Notamacropus eugenii: one gene and its partner. The protein of the gene in region 1 interacts with the protein of each later gene in a biochemical or structural test. Links are inferred from orthologs where the notes say so. Each region holds a gene or a part of one and is shown on either strand. Other genes may lie near its edges. The genes, in order: ARFIP1 and ARF3.

Region 1 (16,825 bases):
CTGGTGGGTCAGACCAGACCTCTGCCTAGGTGGCCCCCACCATTATTCGCAGGGTCCACGCCCAGCTCCTGGCCCCCCCACCACAGTGTCCTTGTATAGACTTTGTACTTCCTTGGTAACTGTCCACACTTCCCCACCTCCGTGGAACACCGCGGGCAAAGCTGTCTGTCCTTCCATCTGAGCCTCCTGAGGGGATGAGGACACTCGGGGGGTGAGTTCACCTGCCCAAGGTGACCCAGGCTGCAAGCAACAGAGCAGGATGAGGCGGGGAGATAGATGCTGTGATTATCCCCCCTTTACAGATGGGGAAATCCGAGGCAGGATTACAACTCCAGATTCAGGAAAGGAGATGGAAGGTTAGTGTAGATTAGTACACAGAAAGTGCTTCATAAATGTTCCTCCGGGGTCAGAGGGCATGGGTTCAAAGTTCGACTGGATATAGACAAGCTGGGTCACCATGCTCAAGGCGCCGAAGCTTCGGGAGGAGGGGTCCCGGGCGGGGGAGGGGTGGCCTCCTTTCCGCCCCACCCCCCGCCCAGCAGCTCTCGGCCCAGCCCAGGCTCCGGCTCTGCTGCGAGGTCTCCCTCCCATCCAGCGGGCGGGCGGGAGGAGAGCCAGCGCCCCGCCCGAGCAACAGCCAGCGAGTCCCCGGATGTGGTTGCTAAGGCCGCCGCGGTCGCTCCGCAGGGGCGGGAGGGGGAGGAAGGAGGAGTGGGCGGGGCCTCCGTTGCCGGGAGACTTGGGGGATGGAAGGAAAGGCGGAGAAGTGGGCGGAGCCTCCAGCGGGGATGGGGGAGAACGGGCAGGGGGGGAGGAGAGGGAGGCCTGGGCGGAGGGAAGAGGCAGTGGGCGGGGCTCCCGGCTCGAGAGGCGTGGCCACTATCGGGACTCTGGCGGGGCCAGGCCGAACCCGAAAGATAGGCCAGCTAGGGCTAGGGCCAGGGGCAACGTGGCTTCCGGTCTCCTCACTTCCGGCTCCGCGGCTCCGGGTCCGGCTCTTCGGGACTTAGGGGGACCGACCCTAGGAGAGGCAGAGAGCTGTGCTGGTGGCTCGGGGACCCCCGTCCCCCTCCCCCCGGGCTCAAGGTGCGTGAGGAGGAGGAACCGGGCCGGGCCGCGGCCGCTGCAGCCCCGCACCTTTCCTTTGCGGTCCGCCCGCGGGCAGGGCACCCGGGGATAGGGAGAGCCGCGGTGGCGGCGGCCCCTGCTCCGGGGGCGTGGTCAGCGGCGGGGGCGGGCGGGGGACACGTCGTGTCCTCGAGAAGCCCGGGCCCCCTCCGGCCCCGGCCAGGTCCGTGACGCGCGGCCGGGAGCTGCGGGGGAGAGGGGGCTGGTCTCGGGGCTTCCTTGCTGGCTCCCAAACTCGGGGGAAAGTGGGTGCAACTTGATCCCGTCTGCTCCGCGCCCCGGGTTGGGTTGCGGGAGACGTCGGGGATGCGTCTCCAAGGTGGCAGGCGCTGCGGGACAAGCCGGTCAGTGCCCGGCCCGTGCCCGACGTTCCCCGCCGGTGCCCCCAGGGGTTGGGGCTTCTCCGGGCTTTCCTTTGCTCCTGACCCCGCTCGCCCCTTTTTAACTACCCGGGAACAAGTTTAGTTCTGCCTGCAGTTCTAGGCACTCCTTTCCTTTCACTTTTAAAAAAATGACTTCCTTCATCCAGCCTTTGTGCTCTGAAAACCTTTGATCCTGGACCTTCAGTCCTGGTCCCTTCCGGACCGTTTCTAAAACTCCTAGTACACCCTCCCCTCCCCCTTTTCTGTGAGTTCCACTCGTGTTTAAAACTGCCCTTCCACTCATTGCAGAGGGATGAGTTTTCTTGCAGAAGCCTGTGTAGGTGTGAGCGAGCTTCAATTTCATTAGCGTTGATTTCCTTCATTCAGTTCAGTTTCATTCCATTAGTTAATTTCAACGCGTCAATGTCATCCCTAGCCCCGTGAGCTGGTGTTAGTTACATTCAGCCAGGCGCTTGTGCTTAAAGGTCGCCACTCTCACGGCTCGAATCGGGCTGGGGCAGGTGTTACCTGGAAGTCTCTCTAAAAGTTGTTTTTTCTCCTCTTTTTCGGAAGCCTTAATTTTTCTTTGATGTAGCTGTTTGCTATACTGTCTGGTTCTGACCGAGACTTATTTTTGGCCTCTTTTGAACCGAAGAGAGTGAAATACGGAGATCTTTGATAACCCTAACGCCCAAATTTTACTAACCTTCATAAAAAAAGAAATTTGTCAGTTTGCTTTTTAGTTCCTGGTCTGTGGTTTTGAGGTTTCTTTCTAAGTATGACTGTCTGTGGTTCCACAGGCAAGAAATCCTCTTGAGATCTAGAAGAGATGTATTAAAGGGATTGGAAATTTGCTTTTGGTTGTGGAATACTTGCTGAGACCTCACCTTGTGTAAGTGACTGTTCAGATAAAAGTTTAAATGCTGTTTTAACTTCCTGCTTCCATTTCCCCTTGTGGGACTTCTTGTGGTTCCAGATTGAGGAAGCACTGCTTTGCTAGAGAAGGTTAACAGAATGTTCTTGGAAGCTTGGGCATCGCATTTTGACCCGCTTTCTTACTATTCTGCACGTTTTCCATTTGGTGTTTGATGGGTTTTCTGGTCAACTGAGTTTTAGTGCTAACTCTGGTGTATTGAGTTCGGTGTTTTGAGGAAAATGTAAGCTCCTGGAGGGCAGGCACTGATGTAAAAAAAAAAAAAAGGATCTCTCTCTCCTCCGCCACCCATCATAGTAATTAGCAGATGAGAGATGCTTAACATATACTTATTAAATAAACGAATGAGTTCAAAAAGGTGAAATTTGAAATGTTTTGCTTTGGAAACTTATCTTCTGTTATGAGCAACCAGACCTTTTAACCCAGAAACAGAATAATTCTGTCTGCTCCTGCCAACTTTGTGAAACATCTGGTCAGGCCAATTTAATTTTCTTCTTCAATCATAAGTGACAAAAACAAAGAGGAAGGGATTGCTATGAAATGTTTTTCTTCTGTCTCATACAGTTTTTAATAAAGATGCAAACACTTCTGTTAAAAAAAATCAGATGTACAAGGATAGAATAAAAGAGAATCACAAGTACATAGGGATTTTTTGACTTGGAAGCTCAGTAATCAGCAGTGTAATGTGGCAACTTGCAGATCTACTGCATATCAATTGCATTAATAGAGTATAGTGTCCAGAACAAGGGAAGTGATAGTCCTACTGTACTCTGCACCAGTTAGATGATACCCAAGTACCATATTCAGTTCTGTGTGCTGAATTTTAAATGACTGGGATGATGAAGGGATTTGAAACCATGTCAAAGGAGATTGTACCAAGGGAAATGGGTATGCTGAACTTGGAAAAGAAAAAACTGGAGGACATGATGTCTTTACACCTCACATTTGGCCAGCAGGTTGTTCTCCCAGCCTCCTCCTCCCCCAACCCCCTCTCCAATCCATCCTTCACTAGGTTGTCAAACTGCTCTTCATAAAGCTCCCTAAAGTTCAGGACTGACCTATTCAGCTCCTACCTCTTGCCCCTCCCTATTCAGTCAATTCTGATGATTACCTGTTATGTCCAAGACTAAATATAAAATCCTTTGTTTGACTTTTAAAGCCCATCATAACCTGGCATTTTCCCTCCTTTCTAGGCTTCATACATCTTTCTCCCCTCCACATGCTCCATGTTCTCTTTGATCCAGCGACACTGACCTTTTTGCTGTTTCTTGCACAAAACATTCCATTTCCCAACTCCTTTACTTTTAACTGACTTTCTCTTCTCTCTCCACCTCCTGGCTTCTACCTTTTGCAAGAAGCCTTTCTAATTCCCCTGAATGCCAGTGCCATCCTTCCAAAATTATCTCCAGCTTATCCTATGTATATCTTGTTAGTACATAATTGTTTGTATGTTGTCTCTCTCATTAGACAGTTAGCACGAGCTCCTTGAGAACAGGGATTTTAAAAAAATTTCCTTTCTTTGTATCTCCAGCACTCAGAACATTGCCTGGCACTGAGAAGGCATTTAATAAATGCTGGTTAATCCCATCAGTGACTTCACAGGATTTTATATTTGATATCTCATTTGAGCTTCAATAACCTTGTGATGTAAACGTTACACATATTTTATCTTCATTTTGCAAATAGAATCAACTGAGACTCAGAGTTGAAATGACTTAAGCATGGTTACACAGTTAGTAATTGTCATATGTAAGCTTTGAACCCAATTTTACTTGACCTCCAGCTCCACATTCAATCCACACCATCTGGCTGTCTCATGATCATGGACTTTGATAATCATGTGGAAGAGAAATTACATTTAGATTGTGTGAGGTGGAAGCTCCAGATAGACTACAACCAATCCGAAGGAAGAACCATCCAACAACATGACATTTCTCAAGTATGCTGCCTTAGGAGATGAGTCTCCCATAGGCAATATCCCATATTCTTGAATTGAAGAGATAAGGACTAGATGAGTTTTAAGACCCTTTTCTTTTTTAAAAGTGTTTTTTCATCAAGAAATTCGCAGAGGACCATCTTCACTCTACGGTTGGCCACACCCAAAATTAGTTATAAAACTATAAAGTTGGGAGAGTGCCATGAAGTGTCCCAAGGATTAGTCTAAGGTCCAAGCAACATTTTTATTGGTGATTTGGGTACGAGGGAATGGAAAATATGTGTAATAGATTTGTAGGAGCTTGAATTTTAAGGAAGAATTCGGAATGATCTTGATGAATTCAAAGAGTACTTAAAAAAACAATGGAAAAACTCTTGGGGATGCATGGGGTATAATGTTATGGGTGGAAGAACTGACAGGACTGTATGTAGTCAGAGAGCTATATAACTGACCAACCTGAGCAGAAAAAGCTGACTCAAAATTGAGATATAAAGATCCATAAATAATTTTTTATGTGTTTTTTATAGCTTATCTAAGCGATCTGTGACTTGGATGTCAATAATTAACATGACAGTTTTTTTTGTAGCCATCATCCACATGTCCAACAAAATCCTCTTTCTCCCATATTTCTATCCCTCCTTCCTGTATCTCTCCCTGTTCCTTTCCCCTTCTCCTTCAGGCTCTTTATTTTTTCTTTTCTCTATGTCCTAACAGAGTCTCCCACCGCTATTGATTTAGTCCTAATTGACAATGCTCAAGAGTAAAAAATGAGATGTCAATTCCTGATTTCACAGTATGACTCTAAAGAGTTAGATTAAAAAAAAATTTAACAAGTATGCTAGAATTTATATATCTAGATGAATATTGTGTTCATCAGAGTAGACACCCTGGGATCTGTACACATTTGAATTATTACAGTGGTGCTACTCAAAGTATTTTGGAAATTCCTCTTTTGGAATTGCCTTCAAAACCTGTTTATGAGGTACATGGGATTATCAGTTTTTCTCCATTATAGTCACCCTTTCTCTGTTTTTTTAAACTTAAAACAGTATTAACAGCTTGATCACCCACTTAACTATACTTTGCTTTTTTCTAAAGTCAAAGAGGTGAAGATTAGCTGTCTTTGAATATTCAAAGAAATGTATTGCAGGATCAGAACTCGATGTCAAAAGAAGAAATGGCTCTAACTATATTTTGAACAATGTTACCATCTGTGGAATATGTGTGCAGCCAAATTATTATCTTGAAGAGGACATTTGTCTATTCTCATATGATTTTTTAGAAGTGAGTCTAATTTACTTATAGTTAGTTTATCAATTATCAACATTTTGCTGAGAAGCTAGAGGAAATTTTTAGGAAATTGATTAAGGGAATTAAAGGGATAGGAACTAGGTTCTATGGGGAAGCATTAAAAGCTTTCAGATTTTTTTTTTTTAATCTTAGTGATATATAGAGGCTAAGAGAATAAATACATGATTCATTTTAGGCAATCTTCTAAAAACATTTCATACATTTGATCTTTTTTTCTGTCGTTTGAGACGCAAAGGAAGTTAAAAACAGGAGAGAATTTAGTTGAATATGTGGATAAACTTTTTGACTTGGTGATAAGACATTGGTGTGGTTAATGAGAGTTAGTTCAGTCTATGGAGATCATTTGTCCCTGAAGGCAGGGAACGTGGCCAGGTGACTTTTACAAGGGCCTTGGCCTGTGATTTCTAATTGCCTTGTTCATTTTAAGTTTGCATTCCTTTAGTCTACAACATTTGGGATCCGTGAACTAATGGCAGCTAAGGACTATGTAATAAATATCTCTAAGTTAAAATGCTATATTTAGAAATTATTTCAGCAGAAAAGGGAAGCTTTGGATTTAATTGTAGGGACAAATGTTTATGCTAATGAATCAGGACTGTCTTGGACATTATTATATTCCAAACTCTACCTTGCTTGTAATTAGAACTCAGTGTGTATTTGTTGAATGAGTAAATGAAATATTCAGGTTTGGAAAGAAACTTAATATGATCTTTGTTTCTCTAGTTTTGGTTTCTGATTAACTGGTAAGATGAAAAGATTTAAGGCTGACTCTCTGTTTTTTGTTTTAATTACTGCAACTTTAAATATTGTTGGAATTCTTACTCTTTGTTAGTTACGTTGATAAAATCTCATTGTCATTTGCACCTTTTGATTCATGCTTTGTTTATTTAAATATTGTCACATCTTTAAGAAAGTACATTTTTAGCATTTCTGGCATGTTTTTACCCCTTTTCTGGGATATATAGATAGGACTTTTTCCAGGGATTTAAATTTTATCTGTATTGGGAATTCTTAATTTTTGAAAAATTTTGACTTAACAGTGCCTTTCTTTCTTATCATATATTTGTTATTTAAAACAAAATGTTTTAAATTTGGGGCATAGAATTCATGAATGCTAATTAATAAGCACCAACAGTATTGAAAAAACAGTTGGGAATTACTGAACTAAATGATTTATAGTCTTCATTACTAATTACTAAGTGATTATATTCTTCCTTTTATCAATTTACGATTAGTAAAATTTTACTAATAACAGTTGCTGCAGTCATTTGGATGACCAATTTTTGTTTCACTCTGTCAATTTTTCCTTTTGTTACATATCAGATTAGAGGATTCAAGTATCCAAATTGATATTTGAAATTTAATGTTAATTATAGATTTCCTCTGAGTATGATATCATAGTATTAAAGTTTTTTCCACCCCTGTTATAGGGATAAGTTGCCAGAAAAAGTCTACATAAATGTAACCATTGTGGAAGATACCTAATTATTATGAGTAACTCCCAAATGCATGAAAATAACATTGTCAGTAGCACTAATAGTGTATGAGATATTTAATAGTGTATGAGCATATTTAATCATTTTTTTCCTAGTACACATATGAAAATTTAAAATTTGCTGTATTCATCCAAATTTAGAAATGATTGTTTAGTAACAGAATTATATTAAAGGATTATAGATTTGGAGCAGGAAAGAACCTTAGAGGCCTCACTTTAAAGACAAGGAAGAATACTGGAAAGGTAGGAAGAGGACAGGTAATGGAGGACTTTAAAAGGCAGAGGATTTTATATTTGATCTTGTAGCTAACAGGAAGCTACAAGGAGTGATTGAATGGGAGAGTGAGGCTTGGGGATAGGGATGGGAGAAGAGGATGACATGGGTCAGATCTGTGCTTGAAGGAGAGACCATTTTCCAGCTTAGAGGAGAGTGGACTGGAGGGCAGCAGGGGTGGAGACTTGAGTCAGGGAGACAAACTGGTCGGCCAGGGGAGAGGCTGCATCATTGTCAGAGAAGAGAAGGGGCATATTTGAGAGAGGTTCTGAAGGTAGAAAAGAGAAGAACTGGCAACTGATTATATACGTGCAATGGGAGTGAAGAGTTGGAGACGACAGCCAGGTTAGGAGCCTGGGTGACTGGGAGCATGGTACTACTCTCAGGAAGTTAGAAGGGAGAATTTGAGGGGAAAGAGAATGAATTCAGTTTGGGGCATTGTTGGGGGTGTAAGCTCAGTTTTCACGTGGACACTCAGGGGCAGGTAAAGGTGAGGACTTCTAAACCTCAGAGTTCTCATGAGGCCCCCCAGGGAACAGCTGGGAATTGAGGTGTGAGACATGGGCTATCTCTTACATTTCCGCCTCTTCTCAGTGGGAAACTTGCTGGGGAGAGCATCCCACCCTTGAGATTGGCCCGGGGTCTGAGCACACCTGTTGTTGACTAGCTAAAGGCTGAGAGCATGCACGGTATTCACGTGCAAACTATGCGGGGGGGGGGGGGGGGGGGGGGGGGGGGGGGGGGGGCGGGGGCGGCGCGGCGGGAGAGCTTAAGTAGGGACAGGAAAGCCTGAAGGCGCTCTTTGTGCTGAGGGGCCCTTAGAGGGCAGAGGGTCCCTCCCCTCTCCCGCTCCCATCCTCTTGCTGTACGATCCTTGCCCTTTGGGGGGGAGGAGGATTCCTCTCTCCTGAGGAAGAATTCACCCTGCACATGTAACCAAGACCCTGAATAATGCCTAACCCTTGTTCGACTCTGGAAAGTCTCTTCTCTCAATACGTTTATCCGGCTGATCCCCGAAGACCTGGACGACAGGTAAGAAAGGCTCGGGTAGCCTATCAGCCTCTAGGCCAAACAGGGCATGTTTAGCTTATGATGTGTATGAGATAGCCATTTGGGGATGTTCAGTAGGTAGGCAGAGGTGTAAGATTGGAGGTCAGAAGGGAATTTAGGACTGGACAAGTAAACCTGAGAATCATCTGCGTGGAGATGGTATTTGAATCCAACACCAGCCCTCCATCCCCTTTGCTGAGATCTATTTAGGGACCAGTTAATCACTTTTTATATCATCTTTGCTTTTTCTATTGCCCTCGTCCCTTCCTTTAGATGAATTTTACTTTTGTTTCTGACTGTGGGGAGAGAACTCCCCAGAATTGAAGGGGACTTCAGAGGCTAGGCAATCTATTATATCAGGATAAGAATTATTTCTGCAGCATTCCTTGTAAGTGCACATGTGCCTTTCTTGGAGGACTCTTAGCAAGGGATAACACACTCTCTTACAAAGCTGCCCTTTCCATTTTTATATGAGTCTTGAAGATGTTGTTTTCTTATATCAAACTAAATATATCTCTTTACAACTTCTTCCCATTATCCCTACTTTTGTCGTATGTGGCTAGACAGAAAAAGTCTTAATTGTTTTTAACACGCTTTCTTCCCTGGTACTCTTTATTCTCTTAAAAATTATTGAAGACCCCAAAGAACTTTTTACGTGGGTTATAATTTTTAATTACCATATTAAAAAGTAAAGCTGATAAATCTTTAATTTTTTTCATTTAAAAACAATAAACTGATTGCAAGTTACAGTTTTTATGAAAAATAATTTTTTCCAAAGCAAAATTTAGTGAGAAGTGTCATTGTTTCACATTTTAGCAAACCTCTGTAATGTCTGGCGTGATAGAAGACAGCTGGATTTTCATATCTTTTTATTCTGTTACATTCTGTTGTTTTGGTTGAAATATATAAAGAAAATCCACCTTCACACAGATGTATAGATGGAAGAGGAAACTGTTTTAATAGCCCTTTCAGATAATCGTGGAATTCTTCTTAGATACTATACCAAAACTCAGTGTTAATTTCTTAAAAATTAGTTGCAATATGGAATCAGAAACCATATCAATTAACTTTTCATACTCAGATGCTACATTAAAATTCATTGTTCTATCTTGCCTTTGAATGGATCTTTTATACCATGCATGATTTTATAATATCATGCAATGTTCATTTGGAAATATTTATATTATGCAGATCTTCCAAAGAATACATTTCATTATCCAGTATCAAAAAGACATATTTGTTAATATGATTACTTAATAACAATTAGTTAACTGTGATTGGTTAATAACTACCAATGTCATCAGGAAAGTCTTTAAGTATTGGAAAGTTGTCAAGCTCAGGGTAGTAGATATAAGTTTTCCACAGCTGGAATTTTTCCCTCAAAAGTTTGAATTTATCTTTGGCAAAAAATATATATATATTGTCAATCGTTTTCCTTGAAGGGACAGATTTGCTTTATTTTTGAGAAGTTATTTTCCAAATAGAAATACCCAAGTCTGATTAACAATACATTGAGTTTGTATGTCAGTTCTTTCAAGTAAAAAGATGTTTCATAAACAAAGCAGTTCAACTTACATAGCTTAAACTCGTGCAAATGCTTTTGTTCCAGAGAACCATCATGCCTTGGTATGTGGCCAAAGGGCTTTATGTGCACTTCCCATTTCTCTCTCCCAGAATGTTAAAAAGCAGTGTATTCAAGGCTCAAGATTTCATAAAGTTCATAATTTTGATTCTACTTCATCAAAGACATTCTTAAGGGAAACTGGCATTTATTTTATTTTTATTATTTTACTTCGAGCACGTGGCAGTGAAGAATACAATTACTACGTTTGATGCCACTGCCTTGATTCATACTGAGACACCAGAAAGTTTACTTACCATTAGTTTTATACCATCAGTGCAAATGTCAGCATAGTTGTTCCAAGATAAAGCATGAAATTCAAAAAAGTTCTTCCACGCTAAAAATTTCAGCACCACTTGTGTTTTTTGCCAAGCATTCACATAAAAGGAGATCTCCTTTAGCAGTTAGTTGATTTTGATGCCAGACAAATCCAAGCAAAACAGCAAGTCCAGCCACATCTGGAGATTCACCTGTTTGTAAGCCAAAAAGTACAGGTGTGCAGATGAGATATTAACTCAGTCTTTATGTGTATAGTCATATATTTAATTCACAGGTTATGTACCCGCTGGAAAACTCCTTAAGCGCATGAGACAAAGAGAAGGGGAAAAGGCTAATAATGACTTAGCATTAATTTGGAGATAATTTTGACCTAGAGTCAAAAAATTTAGTGAAACTAACCAGTGTGGTGTGCCACTGCTTTGTTCCTCCCACCTTTCCAAGGAGGAGGGAGAAGTTTCTCCTCATCTCTCCTTGGGGCCAAGCCTGGTCTTGATGATTGATTTCAAAGCATTCCTTTTCAGTTGCTTTGTTGTCATTGATACATTGTTTTCTTGGCTCTGCTTAATTCACTCTGCATTTGTTCATACAAGTCTTACGGTGTTTTTCTGTATTTATCATATTCATTTTTCTGTTAGATTTTTCAGGTTCTGAGAGAGGAATGTTCCAAAGCCATCTATAATTCTTGTCTTACTGTCCTATTTGTTTTATGTTGTCATTTCCTTATCAATGGTGTCTTTAAACATAATGAAATTTCCTTTTTTGCCTTCTTGACATTATCTCTTTTTGGTATGAAATTGTGAGATTCTGATTGCAGCTTCTGCATTTTTTATTTACCTGAAGTATAAATACATTTTATGTGATTATCCATTTTAACTATATGTCTTAGTTTTTTAGTGTGTTTCTTGTATGCCACAAATTGCTGGGTTCTTTTTTGTAATGAACTCTTCCTTTTCTGTTTTGTGGTTGAATTTAGTTCTTCTGTGATATATTTTTAATATTTTGGGAATAAGTCAGTTGAAATAAAGGTAGAAATGTGAATAAGAGGAGGAATTATTAACTTGGTTTTACAGCATACCTGTTAGGTGACATTCCTGTAGTTTCTGAATTAGATGTTTAAGTTTATTTTGTTGAGTTGAATTCAACAAATTATCAAGTACCTATCGAGAACAAAACTCTCTGCTGGTTTCCATCAGAATGATAATTTAGTTTTAGTGTTTTACAATTTAGCAAGTGCTTTCTTCACGCAGTCCTGGGGGATGGATAGCATTTAGTGTTATCATCCCCATCTCAAAGAGAGGAAACTGGCTCAGTGATTACACGACTGGCCCATTGTCACACAAGTAGTAAATGTCAGAGCTTGGCAGATGAATTTGGGTCTCCTGATTCCAAGGCTAGGGCCCTTTCCACCACAGTATGCAGCCTCTCAGTATGTGTAAAAATCATTATGGTTCCTTAGAGGGAGGAGCTATGGAATTCTTCTTAAAGTTATGGGAAAAATCAGTAGCTATTTAAGTGCTTACGTTGTGCCTGGTGCTGTTGCTGTGAAAGTAGAAAAGAAGTATAAGACATGGTGCCTGCCTTTAAAGGGTTTGAAGAGAGAAGACTCATGAATTCATGAGCTGCAGTAGAAGACTGTAATAAATTTAATTGTGTAGGACAGGTAATTAGTGAATAATTGTAACGTGATGCATGAGCATAACTATAAATTTGAGGAAGGAGAGAAATCCAAATTGCCACAGTATCTGTTAATTTCTTTGGAAGGTTTTTATTCTTTATTCTGTTACATTATAATTCTTCAAACATCTATTTAATCATGCTTCATCATCATACCAAGAAAATTCCTTTATCCTGTTTTTTCTTAGTTTTTTTGTGGGCATATTTCATCCTCCTACCTCAGATTATTATCCAGTTTAATGGCCTGGAATGAAGAGGAGAAAAAAATTATTCCTCTTGCTTACTTGCAGTTGGGTCCCATGATTTCTAGCTTCCATGATTATTGCTGATGTCTCTTTAAAAGTGAAGGACTACAGTAGCTTTCATCAGAGTGAAGGGCTAGTCCCCCCACACCGAATGATAGCCAGTGTTTCCTGTTTTATTCCTTTGCCTTATTTGGTCTTGCAGCAAAGTTGGTAGCAAAGACCAGCAGTAAGAGTTGTGAAAGGCGGTTTTACAAAGACCACTTCTGCAGGACTAGAGAATAGTTAATCCAAGGTCACTCCCCAAATCTGGACTGATTGCCTTATGCTAGGAATAGGCCAACTAATATGGATCAAGTTTAAATATTTATCTATTTGTATATAAATATATCTGTTTATATGAAAATATATTCATATTGGTTCAAATATCCTAATGAATTCCAGGAGACATAATGTTAGGTGTAACCAATTACAGGAACATTTAAATTTAGAGGAGTTCTAAGGCGTGGTCTAGTGATATAAATCTAGTTTCACAATGTTTTGGTAGAATTTGGTTACATTGTATTAATGACAGTATTGTGAGTCCATTGATTTATTTAGATTTATCAAGCCCCTTCTTCCTCACTCTCCTAATACAGTTAGGGTACCACCCTCATCCTCTGAGTCACCCAGGCTCCTCACCGCGGCTCCTGATTCTCACTCCACAGATCTCATCAGTTGCTAGGTGCTGTCTTTTCTACATTCCTGGTGTCTCTCACATATTACCCCTTCTCTCCTCTGACATTCAGAACCTCATCACCTCACTCTTGTAGCATCCAGCTGGTTGGTCTCACTCAAGTGTCTCCTCACTGCAGTCTGTCCTTCACTCATCGGTTCACCTGCTCTTCCTGCCCTACAGGTCTGGTCATGTCTCTTATATCCACCCTTCTACATTGAGTCAACACCAGGAATTCCCTTTTACCTCTTGGATCACATTTCAAATGATCTGTTTGACTTAGCCCTTTCCTACCTTTCACTCCCCTTCATGTATTTTCTGATCTGCTGATATTATCTTCCTTGCACAAGACACTCCACTTCTTCATTTTCTCTGACTGTTCCTATCTCTGGAATTCTCTCCCTTGTCATCTCCACATCTTGGCTTCAAATCTCAACTGAAAATCTCATTTTCTGTGAAAGAAGCTTTTTCATTCCATCTTAATGCTAGCACCTTCCCTCTAAGATTGTCTCAAATTTATTCTTGTGTATAATTTATCTTGTTTGTATATAGTTGTTTGAATGTTGTCTCCCCTATTAAATGGTGACTGTTTTCAGCTTCTTTGCATCCCCAGTGCTTAGCAATGCCTGGCAGTAATAGATGTGTAATAAATACTTATGGGCTAACTGTGCCAAGTGTTGGAGACACAAAGACAAAAATCTTATAATACCTTCTCTTAAGGAATTTGTAGAGGTCAGGGCAGGGGGAAGAGAAGAGGGCAACCAAGGTTTTAGTTGAGGCAGTATTATGTGGGATATACTAATACTTAGAGAAGCCCAGGTGAGACAGCAGATGACAGTGTTTTATTATACATTATTATACATTATACATTAATCTGCCATGTCTTACCTGGTGACCTTGAACCATTCAGTTCATCTCTTTGAGCCTCATTTTCCTCATTTCTGATGTGAGTTGTATAGACTCCAGGACCTGAGGCAGTGGGATACCATGGAAAGAACCATGGAATTGGAGTCAGCCCTGACTTTGAGTCTTGGGTGAGTCACTTCCCTTCTTTGGGCCTCTGATCTACATTTGTAAAATGAGGGGGTTGGAATACAGGAATCCTGAGGTTCCTTCGAGCTCTAAATCTAGGATCTGGTGGTTCCCTGTTTATATTCGGATAAAAAATAAACCGTATTGTGCAGCAGCAAGTTGTATGTCATGTAATCTTCTAACTCAGTGTGACTCAGCCCCATGTAGTTTTTCATTGGAAACTGTCTTAACCAAGAAGCGTTTTTAAGAACTTACCATTTTCTCAGGTGCTTAAATCTTCCAGTTCTTTCCTCCAGACTTTTTATTTCATTTTTAAATTCTCGCCTCATTTCTTGTAGGTATTTATGTGGGCCTTGTAAAAATTCAGATTCTTCCGCCCCCCCCCCCCCCTTTAGTTTCTGTTTTGCTGTTATTGTGGAGTTTCTGAAGTCATTTTGAACAAGCATAGATTTGTAGTTATTTTTGGTACTTGTCAGTATTTTCTTTGATTTACTTATTTCTCTAACTTTAATTCTTGAATTGGGACTTTGAGTCCTGGCCAGGTTTTGCCCCCTGCTGAATTCTTGGGTTGGTAATGCTCTGAGTTCTTGAGCTGACCTTTATCTCCTAGAGTCTCTCCCTATCTCTGAGGTGTGGAATGCCTGATCTTCAAGCCATCTCTAGCCCCTTAGGGTTTAGTGATCTCACTGCCCCTGACCAGATCTAACTGCTGTAGGGTGTACTCAGTTTGCTTACGTCCCTATGGGCTGCTTCCTAGCTGTACAGCTTGGGGTTTTCTTTTCCCAAGGAGCAGACCGGGAGCTTTGAAGGCCTTGTGTTCCATCTCAGTTCTGGCCGACCCTTCCTTTTGATGGAAGAGCCCTTTGTCCATGGGCTTCTGAGTGACTTTTTGTGAAGTTCTAGTTTGTAAGAAATCATTTACTGTTGTTTCTCGTTGAATTTTATAATTATTGTTTTGATCTGCTACAAACTTCAGGGTCTGGGTGCCGTAGGTATTTGGGAGATGAGAGGTCTGCCTTTCACTTAGGAAGTGAGGATTATCGACTAAAAGTCACTGTGCCTTTCTCAAAAGAAGACTCCCCATAGCCAGCGCCTTGAGCTGTTGTACAATTTCTTTTTTGTCTATTCAGTTGGTACTTTGAAGAATAAACTATGTTTTCTGCTTTTAGTCCTTTATCACCCTTATTTTATTTTGGCTTTGATCCTCCCTGCAACTCTCTCTAAGGACCTCGTTATAGTCTTATCTAGTAGCTTTTCCTTTGTCTTTTCTCTCTTCGACACCTCTGCCACATTTGACATTGCCATACTCTTCAACTTCTTTCCTCCCTTGAAGTAAAAAGAAATAAATGTAGCATAAGTGAGCACAGAACAAAACTAAACAAATTGAGGATAGTAATAAATGCATCAACACCTGAGATTAATTGTGTACTGGAGAGAGAAGTAATTAGAGAAAGAGCAATAGGATATGCGTATAAATTATAATTTATATAATTGCAGCATGTGTTATGAATTTCATCATAGTTGACATATTACAGGTAACTAAGTCAAAAAAGGAAAATACATTATACTCATGATTTTTAAAAGTATAGTGTTTGTCTCTAGTGAAAAATTTTTTAACATTTTATTTTTTCCCCAATTATATATAAAAACAATTTTTATCATTCATTGTTTTTTTTAAAGTTTTGAGTTCCAAATTCTATCCCTTCTTCCTCCCCCATCCCCTTCCTGAGATAGTAAACAATCTGATATAGGTTATACTTGTGAGTCATGTAAAACATTCCCATATTAATCATTTTGTGCAAAAAAAAAAAGAAAAACAGAGGAAGTAAAAAATAGTACAGTTTCATTCCCAATGGATTCTTGAGGCAAAACGCCTTCCACATCCAGAGAAAGAACTGTGGAATTGAATTGCAGAATGAAGCAGACCTCTTTCTCTTGTGTTATGTTTTATTTTGTTTTGTTTTATGATTTCTCCCATTCATTTGAATTCTTCTATGCAACATGACTAAGGTGAAAATGTACTTAATAAGAATGTATGTGTAGAACCCATATAAGACTGCACACCGTGTCGGGGAGGGAGAGAGAAGGAGGGGATGGGAGGGGAAAAAAATCTAAGATCTATGGAAGTGATTGTAGAACACTGAAAACAAATAAAATTAAAAGAAATAAAGATTCTTTTTTCTTGATAAAAAAAATAGCATGATTTGGTGTGTGTATTCAGACAACATCAAATCTTTCTCTGGAGGTAGATGAACTAGTGAAGAATTTAATAGGCACTGAGTCTCAAGGAGGAGTTTGTCGTCTGAGCCCGTTGGGTTACACGTGGATGATGTCTTTAAGAATAGTTTGCATAAGGAACATTTCTTGTAATGAAGAGGCACCATTAAATCTTAGTGAAGTAGTTTCTTTGATGAGAAAAGCTACTGTGGTCCAAATAGATTGCTTTCTGAGGATCTAACAGCTGTTAGAGACATTAGAGAAATTGAGAGGAGTGGTTAATTAGCTGTTTATTAGACTGCTTCTGAAATATGAGACCTTTATATGAGTTTTTGATAATGCCAGATTATACTCAGTTCTTTGTTGAAGTACCTGAAGTGTTGGTATTCTTTGGTGCTGATTGAAGGCTCTGTATGCTTTAGATCAGAGGTTCCCAAACTTATTTGGCCTACTGCCCCCTTTTCAAAAAGTAGTACTCAGCTACCTCCTGCAAATCTACTTTCTCTAAACCTTAAAAGCTTTTTTAAAAATTGTGTCATTTCAAAAATATACATT
Region 2 (16,326 bases), on another chromosome or scaffold:
CAGTGTTTGCTGTGAGGGTGCATCCATGAAGTTTTATTGTGTTTAGGTTAATGGAAGACAGTGTTGGTGATGAGAACATCATGGGATGCACAAGTCTTCAGCAGTAAATGACCCTTGCTGTTGCAGTCCAACTCCATTCCTCCCTAGGACTTCCTGCCAAGTCTGGTAGGCTGAGCCTACTCTAGTACTAAAGTTGCCCAGGATTATAAGCTTGTCCTCTTTTGGCACATTGACGATAAGGGTCTTTAGGTCTGCATAAAATTTTTCCTTGACCTCATCAGGGTTTGTCATGATGGGAGCATAGGCACTGATGATGGTGGCATGACATTTTTTCTGCAAGTGCCAATCTCATTGTCATGAGCCTGCCATTCACTCCTTTTGGCAGGCATGCCAGCTTGCTGATCAGATTAGTTTTGATTGTAAAACCTACGCCAGCTTCACGATGCTCCCCTTCACTGTGGCCACTCCAGAAAAAGGTTTATCCAGCTCCAACTTCAGTAAGCTGGCCTTCATTTGCCAACCTTGTTTCATTCAGGGCTGCTATTTGGGTGCAATACCTGTTGAGTTCTCTTGCAATAGGAGCAGTTCTTCTTTCAGGTCTACTGGATTTTGTTATCTATTAGTGTGCTCACGTTCCATGTGCTGATGGTGAGTGGAATCAACTTTGCAAATGTTTTTTTACATTTTTTATGTTTTGACCACATAGTGGGATTCCCCACCTGCCATGTAATCAGGCGAGGGTTGGGTAAGCAGGCAATGTTTAGGACACCTTTTCTAGCTCCCTTCTTCACACCAGGAGGTGAGCAGTGCAATCCTTGAAAGGCTGCTCAGACACTCGGGGGCTGCCGAGTCCCACTGCTGCTTCCAGTGAGAAACGACCCTATGGCCAGGGCTGCCTATGTGCAAGGTCATGACTACAGCTCCCAGTGTATCCACACCTGCTACTTCATCACTTGCCTATTGCCACAGGACTTTGAGGCATAATAGTGAAATGGTATGGGTGATGTCTTTTGCTTCATGTGTAAATTGGATTTAAGTAAGGCAGAGTTGCTTGAAGTCGTCAGCCTCACTCTCTCCTCCTGAGTCATCATAGTCTGGTGGCAAGACAGAGTCAAGATGGCTGGTGATGGCTCAGGATGTAGTGGATGACCTTAGTGTCTTTGGTGTCTAACCAAGCTCTAAGCGCTACACATTGCCTGCTTCATCTGCCTTCATGACCATTGGAACAAATTGTTCTCATCTGCCCATTCCACCAGATGAAGTCTTCACATGTTTGGAGTAGATACCCTCCTAACTCACCAATGGGTTTGAGAACCCTTGGTTACCCTCAACCTGGTTTGGTCCATCTGCTTAAATGGTTTACCGGGGTAAACATACCACAGTTATTTAGCCATTCCCTAATAATGGGCATTTTTAAAATTCCTAATTCTTAACTACCACAAATATTGCTATTATAAATATTGGTTTATGTGGAGTCCTTCCTTTTGTCAGTGACTTCTCTAGGGTATACGCATTGTGGTGAGCCAAAGGGTATGAACATTTTAGTCCCTTTATTTGCATAATTTCACATTTTTTCCAGTACTGTCATATCAATTCACAGCTTCACCAATAATGCATTAGTGTGCCAATCTTTCCACAGCCCCTGCAACATTGACTATTCCCATTATTTTTCATCTTTACTAAACTGATGGTTATGAGATAATGTTTTAATTTGAGACATTTTAATTTGCATTTTTCTTATTTTTAGTGTTTTAGGATATTCTGTTATATGTATGGATGTTAATAATTTGCAATTCTTTTGAGAACTCTTTGTTCATTTACTTGATGTAAGGGGTAGGGAGCCACTTTGCCCCTGAATATAATATTAGGTCATACGGTAATATGAAGTGTTGAAGTTTTGACCCTTTCAGACTTAGAGTGTCTATATGAATATAGTATTTGAAACCTTCAGTATCTCACACCCTTATGGACATATTCATAGATTGTAAAAGGTGTAAAAGTGGCTCAGTCACACCCAGGTGATGCTAAACAGAATTGTAGGAAGTTATGCAACCTGCTTACTTAGTCCACTACAAATTTATGCCATCTAATCTCAACTCAAGGCAATTGCAAGGCAATTCTTTTTTTCTCTTTAATTAATTCTCTATTCCCCTTACTACATACAGGGACTGTTGTAGACCTTTTCTTCTGTCCTCAGGCTTCCCACTTCCTTTTCTCTACTTGCTCAGCTGAGACCCTCATTCATAATTTATGAAGAAAATGGTGGTAGGAATGAAAACAGAGCAAATTTATGTTACAAAGCAGTATTTATCCAAATCACTTGATATTGTTTTAAAAAATAGAAAAGTAGATCAATGCAACTAGATAAAGGAGAAAGGAAATGATAAGACTCAATAACCTAGTGTCTGGTAGACCTGGAAACATTAATGACTTAGGAAAGAAATTTCTATTTGATAAGAGCTTTTGGGAACACTGAAAAGCAGAAATAAGCTTTAAGTTCACCTTTTAGACAATTTTCTAGAGTAAATTCAAAACAGATAAATGATCTGAATATTAAAGATGTTACCATAAAAAATTAGAAGAAAAAAAATTAGAAAAGAAGCAGATCTTGTTGTCTACATCTATAGATAGTGGGTGAATTTGTAACCAAAGAATAACATAGATAATTTTATTGCATTAAATTTGAAAATTTTTGCACATGCAAAATTAAATCATCTAGGATAAGAAGGAAAGCAGTCAATTGGGAAATATCTTTGCATCTAATATCAATGATAAGGTTTCTATATTCAAGATGTATAAATAACTAATCGAAATATGTGACCAGAAGCCATTTTCCAATAGTTGTCATATATTGTAAATAGGAAATAATTAAAAGAGGAAAGTTACTAGAATTAAAAGTGATTGAGAAAAGTTTCCCAAAGAAGGTGAGATTTTAGTTGAGACTTGAAGGAAGCCAGAGAAGCCACGAGGTGAAGATGAAGTGGGAGAAGATTCCAAGCACAAGAGGCAGCCAGAGAAAATGCCCAGAGCTGAAAGTTGTGGAAAAACAAAGGGGCCAGTGTCACTAGACTGAAGAATACACAAGAAGGAGAAAGATGTAAGAAGACAGGAAAAGGTGGGGATGGAGGGCTTTGAACTCCAAGTAGAAGATTTTACATTTGATATAGTGATAAGGAGCCAATGGAGTTTATTAAGTTTATTATTATTATTAAGTTTATTATTTCCTGTACTTTAGGAAAATCAATTTGGCAATTGAAAAGAGGATGGATTGGAGTGGGGAGAGACTTGTGCAAGGCAGACCCATCAGGAGGCTATTGTAATAGTCCAAGCTTGGGGCCTACAAATAGCATGTAGTATTAGAAGGTGGTATTAAAAAAATAAGGTGCCATATTCCAGAGATGTTGCAAAGATGAAATTGACAGGTCTTGACAACAAATTGGGTACAAAGGATGAAAGATAGGGAAGAGCTGAGGATGAATTCTAGGTTTTGAGCCTTGTTGTTGTCTTTGATGTTGTCTGTGATAATAATTAGGGGTGAAGAAGGGTTTAAGCGAAAAAATAATGAATTCCTTTTTGGATATGTTAAGTTTTAGATATCCTGTTCAAGATGTCTAAAAGGCACTTGGAGATGAAAGCCTGGAGGGCAATAGAGAGGTTAGAGAAGAATAGGTGGACCTGAGCATTATCAGCATCCATGTGAACTAATGAAACCAACAAGTGAAGTTGTATGGAAGGAACAGAGGATCCAAGACTGAGTCCCGTGGGAAACCTACAATCATTGGGTATGATTTGGCTGAAGATCTAGCAAAGGAGACTAAGAAAGAGTAGTCTGGTAAGTAGAAAGAGAACTAGGAGAGAGTGGCATCCTGAAAACCTAGAGAGAAGAGAGTATCAGGGAGAAGAGGGAAATTGATTAGCAGGCTACAGAAAGGTCAAAGAAATCACTGGATCTGGCCATTGAAAGGTCATCGGTATATTTGGAGAGAACAATTTTGGTGGAATGATGAGGTTGAAAGGTGTATTACAAGTTGTTAAGACAGTAAAAGGAAAGAAAATGGAGGCAAATTTTATGGATAGTTTTCTCAAAGAGCTTAGCCATAAAAGGAAGAAGAGATATAGGATGTTAGTTATTGGGGACAGAAGAATCAAGTAAGAGTTTTTTGAGGATGGGGAGACACGGTGTCATCCTTTATGTCTACATCATGCACCTATTTTGACCTTATCTTGGTATATGGTGTGAGATGTTAGTCTACATCTACTTTGTGCTCTATTGTCAAAGAGTGAGTTCTTATCCCAAAAGCTTTGGGTTTATCAAACACTAGGTTACTCTGGTCCTTGACTTGTGTACCTAATCTGTTCCTCTGATCCACCATTCTATTTCTTTGCCAGTACCAGATAGTTTTGATGATTACTGCTTTATAACATAGTTGGAGATCTAGTATCACTAGGCCACCTTCCTTTGTATTTTTTCTGATTAATTCCCTTGATTTTCTTGACCTTTTTTGTTTCAGATGAATTTTGTTAATTTTTTTTAGCTTTATCAAACAATTTTTGGTAGTTTGATTGGTATGGCACTGAACAGGTAAATTAGTTTAGACAGAATAATCATTTTAATTGTATTGACGTGGCCTATCCATGAGCAATTAATATTCTTCCAACTGTTTAGATTTGACTTTATTTGTGCAAAAAGTATTTTGTAGTTATGTCCATATAGTTCCTGGGTTTGTCTTGGCAGGTAGACTCCCAAGTATTTTATATTGTTTACAGTTATTTTAAATGGAATTTTTCTTTCTATGTGTAATCAAAAGGGATTATGTAGACTGCACAGTACTTTTACTTTAAGTTCAGGTTCGGATCTTAAGATACAATGATGCACTACAACAAGCTTAATACTCAATTAAGTTTTATTACTACAAATAGTGGAAGTTAGCAAGTGTATACATATAAACAGTAGATAATAGTTAAGACAGAATAGAAAAAGAAAAAATATACTTCACCAGCCAAGTTTGAGCTCCAACACTTGGGCAACTGGGGAGGCTAAATGGGGGGAGCAGTCGAGAAAGGTCCTGGCTGGGAGAGCAGAAGCAGGCATCCCCACTTCTGTAGCAAAAGCCCTCCAAAGATTCATGTCTCACTCAGTCCCTTTATACAAGCAACTTCAGGGAAAAGAGGACTCTTAGAACAAAAAAGGAACTTTGGCCCAAAGTTCCAGCTGTTGACTTTGATCTAAGTGCTCAAGGATTGGCCAGGTCCTTGAACACAGACACCTCTTCTCTTAATGAGTTTTACGACTCTTAAGATAAGGATCTCTTTGCCCCGGCTACATGCTTCATTAATTCTGCTGCTTCCCCTGGCACTCCCAGTTAAGCATATCAACTTTAAGTTACATTCCTTATGTTAGGTCATGTGGCAATCATGCAAGGGGCTGGGGAGAATCTTCCTCAGTTTCCCCACACCATGTCTTGCTGCAGGGCTTTGTTGCTCATATAAAGAAATGATGAAGATAGGTTTGTCTTAGATCCTGCAACTTTGCTAAAGTTGTTAATTATTTTGAGTAGTTTTTTAATCGATTCTTTAGGGTTTTCTAAGTATACCATCATATCATCTGCAAAGAGTGATACTTTTGTTTCTTTATTGCCTATTCTAATTCCTTGTATTTCTTTTTCTCCTCTTATTGCTATAGCTAACATTTATAGTGCTATATTGAATAATAGTGGTAATAATGTACATCCTTGCTTTACCTCAATCTTATCTGGAAGGCTTCTATCTTATAAGAATGGGGAAGACATATGAATGTTTGTAGGCAACAGGGAAGGAGCTTATAGATAGAAGATAAGTGATAAAGTGGGAAAGACAGAAAGGTCATTGTGTTAGAAGAGACAGAACGAAATGGCATAGTTTGTGTGGGTAGAGGAGTTTCCTTGTTAAGGAATAAGGCCACCTTTTTGTGTGAAACAAAAGTGACAGAATAGATAGAGGCAGAAAGCACCTGAGTGATAGGAAATGAGGAAAAAGAGAAAAGAGGGACCTCACAGAAAATGGTCTTTTTTTCCATAAAATATGAGGCAGGGTTCTTAGCTGAGAGAATATAGGGGTGGAGACATTGTGGAAGGTTCAAAGAGAGATGATAAAAAAAAAAGTTTGAAAGAGTCTCTGTGGAAAGTAGGATAATGAGTTGGTAAGGGAGATTACCTTGCAGGAGTGAGGGCCCTATTGAGATTGTATAACATATATTTGTAATGGACCTAGACTAATGGATAGTTACTTGATTTTCTCCATCTTCCTTCAGCAGCATATGTGTAGGATTGAAGGGAGCCGATAGTGGGAGTCATCCAAGACTAAGGCTTGGCAGGGCACAATCAGGGCATAATCAATAAGATAGGGGGACCAGGGACTCAGGAGAAGAGAACAGGGCAAAGTTGAAATATTTCATCAAGGGGTCAAGATGGAGAGAGGAGAGAGTGGTTAGTGAAGGGGTCATGGCCTGAGAGAGAACTGAAAGACTGGGGAATTGGACGTCATGGTGTGAAAGAACAGTATGTTTTGGTAAGAGAATGCAGAAGGAGAGGTTCAGAGAATTTCAGAACTCTTGAACATAGAAGTGGTGCAGTTGTGGATGTTGGCAAGATCAAGAATACGACCATCTTCGTATGTGATTAAGGTATAGTGGAGAAGTATGTCATGAGAAATGAGTAGGTTAAGGAACTGAATGGTTAGGGTGTTTGAGGGAGAGTCGATATGTATGTTGAAGTCTCCTAGTATGAAAGCAGAAGTTGGGAAGGAGAGAAAAAATTGTGAGCCAGGTACTGAACTCGTTGAGAAAGGAAGTAGAGTGACCTGGAAGTCTGTAGGCAACAGCTATTGGGATTTTGATTGGATGGAAAATGTGGATTGTATAGATTTCAAAGAAGGAAATGTTACTGAGTGATGGAAGTAGGGAGAGAACCTGGATGTAGCAGTGGGGAGCAAAGTGTATTCCACCTGTCTTGTCTCAACCAGTGAACTACATGAAATGAATGAAGGTGCAGCCAATACTAAAAAAAGTGGCCAGGGAGGCCGTGTCATCAGGAATGGGATTGGGATGGGGAGGAAGTCTTGGCAATTGCTAGAAGATGGAAACACTAGGGAGAGGGGGAAGATGTAAGATAAAGGGAAGTTTGTTTTCTATGGAATAAGCATTCCAGAGAGCACAGTAGAAGGGGTGGATAGTGTTTGGTTGACACTTCAAGGTAGGAGGGTTGAGGAGGATGAGAATATAGAATCAGGTGATGGAGGATGGGGAATGGAGGGTGCAAATGATGGCCTACATAGGTTAAGAATCACTGGGACATTTAGAGTAAGACCAAGAGTGAATATGTCAATCATTGAGTTGGATAGCTCTACTCCTTTTTCCAGAGAAGGCTAAAGAGCAGGCAGGAGACACATGAGGTGGAAGGCTCAACTCAGGGGACAGGTTCAGCAGGAAGGCCCATCATCACAGGGAATATTGCTCCTCTTCTCACTTGTCACTGGATCTAGCAGTTGTTTGAATTATTATACGTATGTGAATATACATATATGACTTAGATTTATTCAGTCAAGTCACTCCAACCCATGTAAAATAAGTGATAAGATGGGAACCAATCAATAAATCTCTAAGCTTTAGACTAAATGTAAAAAGTCTTTGAAGGTCAATGGATAAAGTAAAAGTACACTATACAGAAAGTATCTTCTAATTACCTGATAGATTTCCTTGTGCCCTCTGGATCCTGTATGAAAGCATCAAGATAACTGGAATCAGGAAGTTCCAGTGAATGGCAAGCCAGGAGAGAGAGATGCAGTAAACCCCTGAGAAGGAACACATGGGTTGTAGCCTTGGTCTGAATCCTCCACCTCTTCTATTCCTTCTCTTTGGCCCAAGGAAAATCTTGCAAGCTAGTCTGCAGGATGTTGGACGTCCAATCTTTCCATCTATGTCCTAGTGATGACATAGAGAACCATGGACAGAATGGACGTAGATTCATAGTCCCACAAGAAGCCCAGCAAAGAATCTCTACAATAACTCAAGTGAATTTCTTGAGCATCCCATAAGTGGGAAAGAAAAGAAAAAACTTCCAGCAACGACCAACTTTCTTTGTGACATATGCTCTCTAAACTTGAACCCACTTTCCCCTGGATTCTGTGTGTGCTTGTGGAGAGAATATGTCACAGACTTTTGGAGGGGAGGTGTTATATAACAACTGTTCTACCTTAGGAAATACCTTGGCCCAAAAAGCTACTTAAACTTACCTGAACTGATGCAAAGTGAAATGAGAAGAACACAGAGAACATCGTACACAGTAACAGCAATATTGTACCACGATCAACTGTGAATCATTTAGCTATTCTCAGCAATACAATGATCTAAGACAATTCCAAAGGACTCATGATGAAAAATGCTGTCCACCTCCAGAGAAAGAACTGATGGAAACCGAATGCAGATCAAAGCATACTCTTCAAAACTTTGTTTTCTTTCTCAATGTAACTAATACAGAAATATGTTTTGCATGACTGCATGTGTATAACCTATATAAAATTGCTTTCTCTCTCATGAGGAAGGAGGGGAGGGAGGCAGAGAATTTGGAACTCAACAGTTTAAAAAACAAATGTTTAACAAATTAACATCTAATTAGAAAAAATGAAACATTTGGGGGGAAAAGCTACTTAAATCTGCCTGAGCAAAATTACTCTAGACTGATCATTTTGGGGGGAAGCAGTCACCAGATAAGATTAGAGAATCATCCGCCTATATCTGATAGAGTACTTCTGGAATCCTGAGAGGGGAGATGGAGATGTAGCTTTGGAGCTTTGTGCTGGGATTCATCTATGACAAGGGGAGTTAAAATAAGGATTCTCAGAATATATATTTATCTACACACGTATATCACACATATATCTACATATATATGTGCATGCACATAGCAAATAGGCTCGGAGCATGCGTGTGCACGTTACATACATGTTATCCATATTGTATGTACATAGGTGTGTGTACACAGCTGGGTGGTACAGCGGAGAAAGTGCTGGGATGCCTAGTGTGACCCTGGGCCACAACCTCTGCCTCAGTTTCCTCATCTGTAAAATGGGGACCACTATTAGCGCTTCCTTCGGCGGGCTGTTGTGAGAATCACACGAGGCTTAGCACGGTGCCAGCTACATCAAGTTTTAGCCAGTAGTAGTAGTAATAGTATATACATATATATGTACGTATGTATGTGGTCTGCACCCACAGGCCACCTAGACGACATCTGCTCACTGCGTCCACACATACCTAGGTCGTGTCCGTGCGTGCGTGTGTGACACTCCACGGGAAGCCCCGGCCCCGGCCCCGGCCCCGGCCCCGGCCCCGCTCCTCGCCAGCACCGCCCCCGCCGCTCCGCCCGGGCCCCCGCCGCCGCCCTCGCTCCAGCCCCCCAGGGCTGCAGCCGCTGCCATGGTGATGGATATCGCGAGATCTTCCCTGAGCCGCCTCGCAGTTCTCGCAAGATCTGAGGGGGGGGGGGGGGAAAGGCGGAGGGACGCAGGGCCGGGGAGGGAGGGAAGGAGGGCCGGGGAAGGCGGGGGCCGTCGCTCAGCGCTTCCGGTGCGAGGTGCAGGCGGGCGGTCGGGCTGTCGGGCGGTGGGGCCGGGGTGCAGCCTCGGCGGAGTCAGCCGGGGGAGCGAGGCCGAGCGGAGGCGGCGGCGGCGGAGGAGCCGGCCCCCGGAGCAGGTGACGGGGCTGGGGCCGGAGATCCCCTCCGAGAGGTGGCTGTGGGGGGAGGGGGAGACGGAGGGGAAGGGGAGATCAGGGGGGACAGCACCCCCTCCCCCCATGCCAGAGGGGCACGAGGCGGGCGCCCACCCCCGGAGAGAAGACGAGGGGGGGCTTGGAGCGGGGGCGTCAGGCCCCGGCCCCCTCGTCCTTCTTAAGTGGGGACGGACGGACAGACTGACGGACGCAGGCTCGCTCTCCTGTCATTTCGCGGGGCGCGGGGACGGGTGGCTGGCACCCGGCAGCACTCGCTCCCTCCCTTCCACCCCCTCCCCCTCCCCCAGCTGGGCTTGGGACGGGGGAGGGGAGGGGCTGCTGGGGCGGCGGAGGGAGGGTCCCTGCCCTTCCCCCCTCGCCCGAGGGGGGCACCCCCTCCCGAGGCTGGGGCCGGTGGGGGGCGGGGAGGCAGGGCGGCGAGTGGCTTCTCGGGGGCCTGGGGAACACTTGTGGGGGAGTGGGCAGCCGGAGGTGGGGGGGAGGAGAAGGGAGGAGGTTCTCCGCCTGCTCCGGGGAGGGAGGGAGGGAAGCAGGGAGGCACTCCCTCCCCCGGGCTAAGCGGGGGCGGCCTTCCCTGGAGCCGAACGGAGGGGGCATCCTCGAGCTGGCCCCGGGTTTGCATCTTCCAATCCCATTCCTTGCCTCTGGAAAGACCAGGATTCCTGAAGCAGAAAATGGTGCCTTTGCTTCCGAAGCCGACCGTTGGGGGCAGGGGCAGGGGGAGGGGGAGGGGGAGGAAGTTCCCTTTTAAAATGGGCCATTGGATTAGGAAGGGAAGCAGCTCCGGGTGGGGAATGAGCCTCCCCTTCCCGAGCGTCCTGGGCCGTGTGGCTTCCCCAGCCTGCCTTTCCCCTTTTCGCTGGACGTGGGAGAGGGTTCGAGGCGAAAGGAAACTGTGAGGTAATCCCAGTGAGAGCAAGGTGTAACCGAAAACCTGCCCCCAGCTCCTGTGGGATTTGATCTCCTGGCCCGCGTGCCATGAAAGTTTTATTGGGAGGTAACGTGCTGCTGGGGTCCGATTGCCTGGGGCGGGTGCTGGCCTCCTTGCGGACGACCCTTTCATCCTCACCAGGGGGCTTGGGACAGGTGCTTCGAATCCATCTTGCCAAACGTCTGTTTCGCGGACTAGCCTGGTCGCTGAGAGGGAAAACAGACACAAAGGTGGACCATTTAGATCGTTCTAACAGCTAGGTCGGGACCCATGGCATCTGGGCCCGGAGTCTCTGCAGGAGAGGGATCACTTAACACATTTTCCCCACCCCCACTTCTCTGAAGCGCACTCATTGCCCGCTATTGTTTACCTGTTCTTGTGTGTATGTGTCTTTTTACCACCACATTATAAAATCCGTCTTTGCCCTTAAAGAGTTTATAATTTTTTCTTTTCTCTCCCCCACTCCATCTTACAGTGACCAACAAAATCTTATGTGCACATAGTAGGAATTCAGTTTATATTCGTTGAAAGAATGATCACACTGAGTGAATGATCAACCTTGGACACCTTCTGTCAAAGATGTCTTGATACCTGATAGAGATAAAGAAGAGAAGTGATTTGTCTAATTTATCTAACTCTTCTGAGTTTCTGGGAGGTAGCCAAGTGGTAGGACTAGGACCTCAGGCTGAGATCTTTGAACTTTGCCATTATGCATGCTTTATGCATTGCAGTTTGTGTATTTTGTAATAGAGCTTTCAGTCTTTCTATCTCTAAATAAATTATCTTATGATTTTGTTTCTCAACCTCACTGTGAAAAACAGATATTAGGGATCATTTCTTTTATGATGGGAAAACTGAGGCACAGCAGCCAAGACCACAATATTTCTCTCTTACTATTTTCTCACAATTTGCAGTTTTCTTCTCCTTCAGATTAAATCACTCTTAATTACAGTTACAGTTAGCTATTAGTAATAATAGCTAACATTTCTATAATATTTAAGGGTTTACAAAACATATTCTTTACAACTACTCCATGAGGAAGCTAATATAAGTATTATCTCCATTTCACAGATGAGAAAATGAGGGCTCCAAGATGTTAAATAATTTGCCGAGTGTCGTACAATTTATATGTGACAGACTTGGAACTTAAACTCTGCACCTATTGACTACAGATCCATTCTTATTTCCTAGATTGCTCTTGTAATCTTAAAATGGTATCATTGGGTCTGAGGAGAGGCTGAGAGAGCCATTGCCAAAAATCTGGTGGTAACAGTGGATCAGCAGCTTCACATTAGTCTAGTGAACAGGTTGCAACCGTTGTGGTAAAAAGAAGAAAAATGGAAATTATTTTTAAAGTCTGTTTCATAGAGTATACACCTCAGATATTGTTTTCTTAGTGGAGGGATCACAAAAAGAAATGGTTTCAAGATAGGAATTTAAGTTAGGAGAAATTCTTAATAATCAAATGATCAAAATGTAGAATTGCCTTTGCTGATGATTTTTAGAAACAGGAGAGGCGAACTCTAGTTAGAATTGAGGTATATTTGGTTAAAGCTATCCGGTGGTTTGATCTGGGGGGGAGAAATCACCATTTTTCCTCCTTATACCTAATATTTTTATCCGTATGAAAGTCTTATTAAAATGAAAATAAATGTTAGCCTTGAAAAGAAAATGTTAAAAAAAAATGTTCATATACACCCTGGAATGTATGTGAAAATATGAGGAAAGGAGTGTTTATCGTCAGGGCCTTATATTTAATAAATTTAATGTTTTAGCAGCAGCTTTTTATGTTGTCTCACGTCGTGAATAGTTATCCTCAATAATAACGATGATGATGATGATGATAGCTTGCATCTATGTAGTGCCTACTATGTGCCAGGCACTGTGCTAAGTGCTTTACAACTTCATTTGATCCTCATAACAACTCTGAGAGGTGGGTGTTATTATTATCCCCATTTTCAGAAACTGATGTTTAAGTCACTTGCCCAACGTCACACAGCTAGTAAGTATCTAAGGCCAGATTTGAACCCAGGTCTTCCTCATTCCAGACCCAGCTAGAGTCTTTCCGATGCACCATCTAGCTGCCTTCGAGCCAAAAATACCTGGGTTCAAGTTTTGCCTCTGACATAAAACCATTTGGAAATCTGTGATTGTCCATAAGATAAATTTATGGTCTATCCTAAGGCCATAAATTTCAGAGAAGGTGCCAGCCTGTGTTGTTAGAGGATCTTTCCTCACTAGGGAATTCCCTATACCAATACATTTACAAATCCAGGTCCTATTCTTTCATGAGGAGCAAATTGTGGAGCCCATGGCAATTGACTTGGCATTCTGAAATAATGGAATGGCTCATTCAGAGAAAGTGCTAGTTTTAGAAATGAGGCTAGATGACAGTTAAATGGATTCATAGCAAACTGAAAGATCAGACTTATACAGCAGTGATTAATAAATCAATATCTTTATAGATACAGGTGTATGATGACTTGCCTCAGGGACCTCTTTTTGGCCCTTTTCTGATCAATATTTTTTTTTTCTGATCAATATTTTTAACAGTAAATAGGATGAAGGGATAGATGGTATGCTTATCAAATTTGGAGATCACACAAAGCTGAGAGGCACATCTAACACAGAATCAGGATTTCAAAAGATCTCAGTAAGGTAGAATAATGGACTAAATCTAATAGACAAAATTTAATAGAGATAAAAATAATGTTCCATGTTGGATTTTAAAATTAAATGAAGCTTCCTGGTGGAGATGTGGTTAGATATCAATCTTATGTTAAAAAGATATGGGGGCTGATGGTGGTTTAGCCTTCTAGCTCAGTATGAATTAGCATCATAGTGTGGCAGCCAAGAAAAAAGGATTTGATTGCAAGGCACTGTGCTATAGGATACAAAGATAGAAATGAAAACCCTTTCCCTCAAAGAGCTTATATCCTATGAGGCAGAAACAGCATTGTTTGAAAAACAGGGTTGTGCAAAGAACACTAATGACTGTAGGAAACAGGAAAGACCTCCTTTATCAGAATGACCCTGAGCTGTGCTTTGAAGGAAGCTAGGAGGCAGAGGTTTGGAGAGAGAGAGTGATAGGAATGAGGAACAGTGATCTTAGGCCTTTTTAATAGAAGTATATTAATTTAATAGAAGCATATTAATTTAATAGAAGCATAGAGAAATTTCAACCACACCATACTCTGCTGTAGCCAGAATACCTCTAGAGATTTGTATCTAGCTCTGAATGTCACCTCTGAACAAGAAAACTGACAAACTAGACCAGGGGTGGGAACCTGTGGCCTTGAGGCCCTCTAGGTCCTCAAGTGTGGCCCTTTGACTGAATCCAAACCTGTTTATTCTGTGAAGTTTGAATTCTGTCAAAGGACCACACTTGAGGACCTAGAGGGCCTCATGGGGCCTCAAGGCCACAAGTTCCCCACCCCTGATACAAGACCACATTTCAAAACCTGGATATAGTTGCCAAGATAGTGAGAAGACTGGAGATCATATTATACAAGGACCAGTTGAAGCCCGTCAGGATATTTAACTTGGAGAACATATTAGCTATCTTCAGTTACTTGAAGGACTTTCATGTGGAAAAGGGAGATTAAACTTAGAATAAGTAGGGCCCCAAAGGATAGAGCTAGGTACAGTAGGTAGAAGTTGCAGACAGGCAGATTGTAGCGTCATATAATGTGAAACTTCCCAATAATAAGAGCTCTCTGAAAGTAGAATAGCCTGCTTCTGAAGAAGATTCCCCACCAGCAGAGGCCCTGGATCACAGCATTTAAAACTGGAAGAGAACTCAAACATCATCTATGCTAACAATTTTTTAAGATAAGGAAACTGAAACAAAAAGAGATGAGGTGATTTGTCACATACATACTAAAAGTAGAGCCAGGCTTCTAACCCAATTCTTCTGATTTTAGATCCATTGCTCTTTCTACTAACCCAGATCTCCTTTCCACTACAGAGAGGATTCCTATTGAGGCATAGGTTAGATCAGATGACCTCTGAAATGCTATGAAGAGCTAATATGATACTGAGCCTAACACAAAAGGACTATCAAATTTCCTTCCCATTTTATTTGTTATCACTCAGTTCTTTATCCCATTTTTTTGTTTGTTTTAGGTTTCAATAAGTACAGGTTATCTATGCGTTGGTCCATTGTTTTCATTCAGTAGTCCTATAATTGTGTGTGTGTGTGTGTGTGTAGATTGTAAACTTCATGGGGCTATAAATTATTGTGTTTATATAATTCTCTTCATCTGATGTCCAGCATAATATGAGTTTCAAATGAACACAAAGGCTCTTTGATGATTATAACAAATTTGAAGAGAATCCTCATAAAAGGGAAAAACATAAAGGACTGGATATGTAGTCTGGGAAAGAAATGGCAGAGGACTTCTATTAAAGGTGGTGATATGAAAGATTCTAAACAAGTCTATTTGCCCTACCCCTGAAAAACATCTCAGAAATTTTGAAGAGCACCAGATAAAACAAATGATTTAACAGAACTAAAAGAAAAGCACCAGTGAGTTTCTCCAACTTCCTGGGACTCTGCCATGAGACTGCAGAGGACCTGCCAGCTAAAGGTTCCTGAAACCAGTGCAATCTCTGGTTTTCATTTTTTAAAATTTGGCCAAAATTATTAGAACTGGAGGGCAGAATGAAAACAAAAGAACCCACATAACATCTACTACCTGAAAGAATCCCCAAATTCAACATGTACAAAAATAACATAATCCAAGTCCGGAGCTTTCAGGTCAATAGAAAAATAATACAAATAGCTAAAAAGAAAAGAATCAAATACCAAACAACTACAGTCAGTATGTCACACAAGATTATGAAGCAGTTACTTAAAGGAAAAGAAAGCTTGAGATTCATTATACTGAAAGGCAGAAATAGAAGATATATAACCAAGAACGATTTATCCTCAGAAACTAAGTATAACCCTAAAGGGGGGGAAAATGGAGCTTTGATAGAAGGCTTTGAATAACTCCTGATGAGAAACTTAGAGCTGGGTAGAAATTTGAGATATTTAAATAAGGTTAAGTGGTGATCAAGTCCTTATTTTGTACTAGTGGGAAAGGAAGCCATTGTTCCTTCAGAATCTGTATCTTCAGAATTTAAAAGATGAACAAAAGAAAAGAAATTCAAGAAATGGGAATGGTTTTGTGTTTTTGCTTGTTTAAAAAAAAAGGGGAAATACACTAGTTAAGATATGAAGAAAAAAGGGAGAAAATTATTTTTCATCACTGGGATGCATCCAAAAATATATAAACATGAGGTTGGAAAGAGTGGGCATTTCATGAACCTCACTCTTATATGAACCAAGCAAAGGAAGGTCAAGCACACATATGCATTTTTGTGTACACACAGTTTACTGTAGAAGTACATTAAAATCAATAGAGAAATAGATGGGAACAGGGAATGGAAAAACTTGGGAGGGAATAGTCCCAAGCAAAGCAAGTTTTAGCTACATAGTATATAACAGGACTAAAAGGATAGAGAAGATGAGAGCCAGTAGTCTGGGTCTGGACTACAATCAGAGTATTCCAATTGTATGTTACTAATTTTGATCATGTCTTCGTTTTCTCACTTTTTGTGCAGAGGAAGATTTTTGGGGAGAGAG

The links.
Region 2: the proteins of ARFIP1 (region 1) and ARF3 form a complex in vitro, tested with the Homo sapiens proteins (2 studies listed by BioGRID). The link is inferred for Notamacropus eugenii from reciprocal best matches to the Homo sapiens genes ARFIP1 and ARF3.

What each region holds. Positions count from the first base shown.
Region 1 is NC_092877.1:150,888,404-150,905,228, forward strand, and holds the start of ARFIP1 (arfaptin-1), read left to right. Parts: upstream 1-8,237; 5' UTR 8,238-8,391; coding exon 8,392-8,472; intron 8,473-16,825. UniProt on the Homo sapiens protein: Plays a role in controlling biogenesis of secretory granules at the trans-Golgi network. Mechanistically, binds ARF-GTP at the neck of a growing secretory granule precursor and forms a protective scaffold.
Region 2 is NC_092874.1:220,779,547-220,795,872, reverse strand, and holds the start of ARF3 (ADP-ribosylation factor 3), read left to right. Parts: upstream 1-9,533; 5' UTR 9,534-9,727; intron 9,728-16,326.